Daphnia pulex: one gene and its partner. Each later gene encodes a partner of the first gene's protein in a complex. Links are inferred from orthologs where the notes say so. Each region holds a gene or a part of one and is shown on either strand. Other genes may lie near its edges. The genes, in order: SAGA-associated factor 29-like and protein Dr1-like.

Evidence for each region.
Region 2: SAGA-associated factor 29-like (region 1) and protein Dr1-like share a complex: the UniProt entries of both Homo sapiens proteins name them as parts of the ADA2A-containing complex. The link is inferred for Daphnia pulex from reciprocal best matches to the Homo sapiens genes SGF29 and DR1.

What each region holds. Positions count from the first base shown.
Region 1 is NC_060019.1:9,072,333-9,076,064, forward strand, and holds SAGA-associated factor 29-like, read left to right. Parts: upstream 1-1,490; 5' UTR 1,491-1,610; intron 1,611-1,669; 5' UTR 1,670-1,767; coding exon 1,768-1,806; intron 1,807-1,868; coding exon 1,869-2,003; intron 2,004-2,063; coding exon 2,064-2,186; intron 2,187-2,249; coding exon 2,250-2,408; intron 2,409-2,474; coding exon 2,475-2,703; intron 2,704-2,784; coding exon 2,785-2,963; 3' UTR 2,964-2,991; downstream 2,992-3,732. Other genes in the region: uncharacterized protein LOC124191408, read right to left, coding at 3,065-3,205, 3,263-3,361, 3,553-3,732. UniProt on the Homo sapiens protein: Chromatin reader component of some histone acetyltransferase (HAT) SAGA-type complexes like the TFTC-HAT, ATAC or STAGA complexes.
Region 2 is NC_060021.1:11,079,329-11,082,626, forward strand, and holds protein Dr1-like, read right to left. Parts: upstream 1,585-3,298; 5' UTR 1,426-1,584; intron 1,343-1,425; exon of another isoform or gene 1,302-1,342; 5' UTR 1,293-1,301; coding exon 1,076-1,292; exon of another isoform or gene 1,013-1,075; coding exon 871-1,012; exon of another isoform or gene 812-870; coding exon 664-811; 3' UTR 613-663; downstream 1-612. Other genes in the region: uncharacterized protein LOC124194693, read left to right, coding at 14-107, 175-207. UniProt on the Homo sapiens protein: The association of the DR1/DRAP1 heterodimer with TBP results in a functional repression of both activated and basal transcription of class II genes.

The DNA of each region.
Region 1 (3,732 bases):
CCGACAGCCACCAGGCAACATCAACTATTTTGCACAACCATTCAACACTGCAAGAACATCAACATTACGTAAATATCACATTGAAATATGATGTTGAAGTGAATGTCTGCACAAGCTCCATTTGCGAAAATTCCATTTTGACAAGCTCCATTGCGAAAACGCGCCCTCAAGACATCTCGACTGGAAAATGACTGCAAAACCACTGCTCACACCATGAACGCTGCATCAACACCATTGGCAGCTCCAACATCAAACTAACCAAGAAATCCTGTAAATCAAGTTCAAAGGAAAACAATGAACCAATTACATTTTCAAATACAAGAAAGGGTTAATTTCTGTTTTATATTTAAAAAATACAATTCTATTGAGCAAATCTTTTCACAAAAGCTCTTAATTAGAAACATATAGTTGTTGTAAAATGTCATCTAAATCGAGAATTCAATGTCTGACCTGATTCCTGACAAAAATCACATGTGTAGCACACACTTTTAAAGTAGACTAAAATATAGGCAAATTCTAACCCACTCGAGTGTTCTAACAAGTTAAGTGCATGTCTGTGAAAGCTCTTGGCATAATTCAACTGGAAATTGAAACAATTTGCAAAACAAAACGTAATGAAGCTCAGGCTTTACTGCTCAACAGTTAATAGAAAAATTTAAATTACTTTTTGAAACAAAGTCACACAATTTTAATTCAGAAACAAAGTCTTGAATTAAAAAGTTAAGCAATAATTACTTTTTACTGTTCTGCATGGAACGAAACGTGCAACATTCAGCAAGAGACGACATTGTGGGAATGTACAGCAGGCCACATGCGATTACCAATTATGAATTGAAGACAATGTTACACGTTTTGAACCACACACAAAATTAAATTTTATAAAATTAAAGAATAAAAAATGGAATTACCATGTCTATGATCAACAATGTCACGTAAGAAAGTACCAGCAATGACTAAATTTTACCTTCTCGGACAGCGTCTCGACAGCAAAAGAAAGACTGTTCTGTCAGTCGTCTCAGGACTTTGACAGTTTGATGACCCATCCCCCTACACCCCTCTAGAAACAAACACACTAGAGCTGAATAGTTCAATCCCTAAACACGCTGAAATATTTAGCCACCTAGTGACAGCCCTGAGCATCCACGGACGACTAGAATGGGACGGAAAATAAACGAAATATTCGTCATCTCCGTGAAATACATTTAGTAGATAAAAAAAATTATCGAAAAATTAACAGGTGAGCTTTCTTGGTGGAATAGTTATCGTCAGTCATCACCAAAAAGTTACCACACAATGCCGATACATTTTTACAGGGATGTGCAAAATATTAAAATAACTGACTACAAAATAACTAAATAATTTGAGAGTTGAAAATGATCAAAGGCTATATAATAAAACCACTCGAAAAAAAGGCCTGATTTAGAAATTATTGCCATGGTTATACAATTTGAGCATGCTCATGCCATCTGCTAATGACGAATGGAACTAATACAGTTGATGCCATAGTTGCCATGGTGACGACAAAGCAACTGCCGATGTTACGATTTTCAATTTATTGTTTGGAAGGCTGATTTCCGATGACTGTTTTTAAACTCATCTTCATTAATTTAGTAAGGTTATTTTTCTGTGCATAAAAGATATGTAAATTTCAGAATTTAATTTTCTTTAGTTCTTGGTTTTCTTGGTGGCTTTTGCTTGGATTCCAGTCATCATTGCTGGTTTGAGCTCATCATTTAGGAGAGGTAGTTGTTATTAAACATATACATCATGGCTTTGTCATTAGATTCTGCCACACAGCAAGTCCAAGTAAGGTTGATATAATCAGTTGTTAAGGTATTTACTTAGTTCTAATTTGGATTGGGGTGCAGGAACGATTGAAGGGGATCTACAAGTTGGTCAAGCAGATTCAAGAAGAGAAAGTTCGTAATGAAGGTAACTTAAATGCTGTTATCAAAGCTCATGAAAAACTTCAGTCAGATGACAAAATTTCTCCATATCACAAGGTATTTCTATTCCCATATCACTAATTAATCAGCACTAATGAATGCCTATAAAATTATCAGTCTAAATTAAAAGGACTGTATTGCTCTGTGGTGGCTGATGCTGAAAAAGAAGAGGACCTTATTCGTAAGGCATTAAGCAAAATCTATGAAATTCGCGTTATCAGACATGAAAGGAGAATTCAGGTTATTCCCAAGAACGTAAACTTAGAAAATTTCACCTAACATTGTACTAACATTCTTGTTCAGGCAAAACAAGCTGGCAGTAAGGAAACTATAAGAAGAGGTGCTCTCATGAAAATGCTTCTCGTTACTGCTCAAACTCTCCCGCTGTGGATCAGTAAGTCAGGACAACAGCCACCAGCATTATGTGGAGCAGTTCCAGCTGACCCAACTTACGTTGCCAAAGTATTACATTATTCGAATGTCATAAACTGTTAATTGACTAACCGAAACACCTTATATGTATGTCAGCTGGGAGATATTGTTGCGGCTTTGGTAAAGAGTACAGACGGCGATGAGAATTGGATTTTGGCAGAAGTCGTTCAATATTTAGCTTCTTCTGGGCGCTATGAAGTGGATGATATTGACGAGGAACAGAAAGAGCGACACACTTTAAGCAAACGCAGAGTAATTCCTCTTCCTTTGATGCGAGCTAATCCTGAAACCGATCCCGATGCTTTGTTCTCAAAAGGAGCCACTGGTAAAAACAAAACAAAAAAATCGCAAATTTTAGCTGATCCGACGTTAGCATATTATTAACATACTAAACATTTGTTTTTAGTCATGGCTTTGTATCCACAAACGACCTGTTTTTACAAAGCGGTAATCAATCAATTACCCCAAACAGCTCAAGATGAATACCAAGTTCTTTTTGAAGATTCTAGCTATACTGAAGGATTCAGTCCGCCTTTGATGGTGGCGCAACGATATGTCATAGCTATCAAAGAGAAAAAGAAATGATTTCAAATACATTTGACCCTTTTTTCTATTCTCTCTTCTGTACAGCAGGATTTGTGTTTTTCACTACTTCTTCCAACCACGTATGAAACATGAAATAGAATCTAAATGGGGGAGTTTTTGAATCCGTAGTCGGCGTAGTCAGAAGGCTTCATTTTATCGGAAACTTTAGGGAAGTTCGGATCTCCTGGGTAAACTGCGGGTCTGGAGCCGAAAATTGCAAATCCTTTCTTGCGAGTCCAGTCCTAAAAGTTAAAATGTAGTATTTTGGGTGCTGTCCACTATTAGAGGCAAATACTTACATGAGAGTTGTACTTCAGATTGTAGGTAATTCCCAAAACCAGCCATCCAGCAAGAAGATATTTACCAACCCAATAGCGAGTAATCTGAGTTTTGTCGCCCTATGAATAAGAAAAAGAATTAGAACACAGATTTTATGAATTATGTAGTAGTCTCACAACCACAAAATGGACAGTTAATTAATTTTTAAAAGTAAAGTGTTTTAGTTCACATTACATCTGCTCGAACTAAATCGGGGAAATGTTACCCATAACAAAAGTTTTAAGTTCTGTTAATACTTATTATTACTTACCAATCTAGATTGAAGTTTAGAGAAGACAAAATCAAGGGGAAAACGATATGCTCGACGGATTGGATTCATTTCCATTTGGCTGGCACTAAATTGCGTACGAGGTTCATGGTGGCCCAACTCCTGAGCTTTGAGCCATTTTTTTCGCCATTCACGATCCAAATCGGTCATCGTTCCATCCAA
Region 2 (3,298 bases), on another chromosome or scaffold:
TTCGCGGATTCAGTTTGGATAAAGCTAAGCAAGCTGTGAAACAGAAAAAATTACAGAGTAGTTCAAGTTATGGCTATGCTAAATCGAAAACTGACGAGGGAACTTTGGTAAGTCGTCCAGTTTATTTGCTCTACTTTTAAGATATGGTCTAACAATGTTTTTGCAATTTTACAGAAAGCAAGATTGCTTAGTCGAAAAAAGAAATAATGTTTGGAATTTCACTTTTGCCTTTTCATATTTATATATAACTTCTTTTTCCACCACGACACACGTACTTTTGTCCAATACCACTATGATAAAGTTGAATTTCTCGTAATCTCGTAACACTTAGATGTCGATCAAAGGCTTGGTTTGTCCATGTTATTTATCCTCTCAAACCTTATTATACTGATATAAAGTCGATTTGCGGCTTGTCGAATTGTTAAGCATTCAAAATGAAAAATAACTTGTTAATTATGCAATAAGTCATGCAGTTAAATTCTTTCCAAATATGAGGTATCTGAGTAGTATAAATAATGCTTCAAGTACAAAAGTAAAGAATGTTAGGATGGTACTGATAAATAATAATTAAGACAACAGTAGAAATATTTCAAATACACTTCATTAAGCTCATTCTAGAAATCAAATTTTGTATGTATTGAATCAAATTTCACAAACAATCTTCTAAGAGTATTCTCCATCTTCTGAATTTGATGGAACATCTCCCTGTTGTTGCTGCAAGGACATTTGAGCCTCTGCTTGAAGTTGTAGCCACTGTTGCTGCTCAGCAGCAGCTTGTTCTTCTCTGGCTTTGGCAAATAATTCCTGCTGTCTATATTTTAAAAAATATGTATTAGACTAATTAAATCATAAAAAAGTGATAAAACTTACTGTCTCAATAGCTCTTCTTCTGGAATTCCCAAGTTTTCCAACCTTGTACTTTGGCGCCTCCTTTTGGCAGCAACAGCTTTACAATCTTTCAACACTGCTTCAGCATCAGTACGGTAGTCATTGAATCCAAGCCTATCTAATGCTACAACCATGTGTGTTAGATTATTTTTCCTTTCCATTACTTTACAACATTTGTAACAATTACCTCCAAGTATATGCTCTGCATTAATAGTCTTTTTCTGTTGCTGAGTACAAATTTCATTAGCCTCTGAAGCCAAAAGGTGTATGAACTCAGAACAACAGTTAAGAATCAATTCTCTAGCTTCATTGGCAACTCGGACACTGGGAACAATCTCTTTAATCATTTTGTTCATAGCAGCTCTCGGAATGGTCAATTCTTCTTCTGGCACAGCTTCTGCCATCTTTAAAGCCTGTATATCAGAAAAAAAACCTACTGTCCACAAACAGAAAACTTTATGAAGAGCAAAGGCTTTGTCAGCCAATACTAGAAGGAAACCGTAATATTGAAAAACAAATTTATGACTCATTATATACCAGAAAATTATATACGTAGAATTAAAAGAACAGCACACACGGTAAGAGTATGATCCTAAATTCTTTCAAAGTTTTCACTAATAATTAACTTTTCTCTCGTGCAGAAGAATGCATAAACAAAGCAATACAACAAACTACACCAAACACACTAGATAAGAAACTAAAATGAATCGCTAAAATAACCTTTTTTTATGCGCCTCTACCAATCGTATACAGGTACTAGGTTGGGAATGTCCAGAACCTTATCCATCTGGTGGCTGCGACTAGTACTTCGTATCCGACTGATAGAATATATCAGCTTGCACCATTATCAGCTTGCACCATTAGTTAGGCAATCCAAATTCATTATCATTATAGGCATTACGAAACAAAAACTAAAAAAGACCATTGTTTTTTCCCCGCATAATTCAGAATCAGGTCATTTTTGGTTGTAAAATTGCTGTCATCCCCCTGTGATTTCCACGCAAACCTTGAAATGATTGTCATTTTTATACTACAATTTCTACTTCATCGTCGGTCCGCGAGGAATTAGAGGAAAAGTCATTGACAAAACCAAGAATACGCCTAGGTCGACCACGGCACCACGCAAGGAAAAGAAAAATTCCGGGTAAAATATCTAAACTTCATTCGTGTTGCTTATAGCAACTCGATCTATTGAAGGTTGTTGACAAGCAGTGTTATTGTGCGTGTTAGCTTTGTTTTTTAAATTCGAAATTCAGAGACCGAGTGTGATTCTATTTGCGCTGTTTGTAAGCAGAGCTATAGATGACAGCGTGTATGGCAGAGCTATACATCTATAACTCTGTTGTAAGCATAAAAGGCTAGATATTTTAATTTAAACCTGAAGTCCTTAATGAATAGGATATTTGTCGTTTGTAGTTTGAATATGTTTTTTGATTTTTTAAATGAAAACAAAATCACAAAAGCCCTTTGCTTGCTAACGGAGATCAACAACTGAGAAGTTAGAAAGAATTCGGGTAATTTTCTGAACTTCGTAAAAGGGCAACGTCGCTTCCCATTCCTCACGGAAGTTCGTCTGCACTGTGCAAGTCTGCAGACTGCATTGCAGATTGGTGAGTTGGTGACGATGACATCATCTGCATATTTTTTCAAAGTTTCAATCATGGAATTGTTCGATTGTAGTGACTAGTACGCAATAATGAGTCCGTTCACTCTAAAGTTTGTTTATATTTCTCGATTGTCTAACTTATGTTACCCACGGGTGTCCCGTTGCACCGTGGACCTTGGAATGTGGATTGTGGTCGGTGAGAAATTGACGGTGGTAAAGAAACTATTGCCTGGGGGACCGTAAGGAGTGATATTAATCGAGCAGCCCCATCAATTCCAATAGTTGCTTGAAAATTTGGGCAAGAACGAATTTGAAAAGCCCTTTGTGCTTTGTCTGCTGCAATACAACTTGAGGCAGGTGGCTACCATGTTACAGTTGGAAAACAAGCACATAATTAAATCACCTTGCTTTTGTCGTAAAACACACTAATGATTTATTACATTTTAGGTCAAAACAAATCCTGTCTGGATCTTGACGTAGAAATTGATAGACATACTTTTCATACTGTTGTCAAAGTTGAGAAAGAAGAAGACAGACATAATCTACTCTCTGCAACACTGGCATTATATTGGCCCACTTTCACGTTGATTTACCATATTGGTCTGGTGGAGTAACCATCAGTGGGAAAGCAGTGGTCCCAAAATATTAATCCCAGTCTCCTTTACTAGCCAACGTCATTTTCAAGTTGGGGATGGAATACCAGCACAAAACGTACGTTAATCAGCAAACGCGTAATGTAATAACGCTCAATATTAGTAGGTTGCTACAACTTTAGTCAATATACCCAAAAATATCTCACGGACT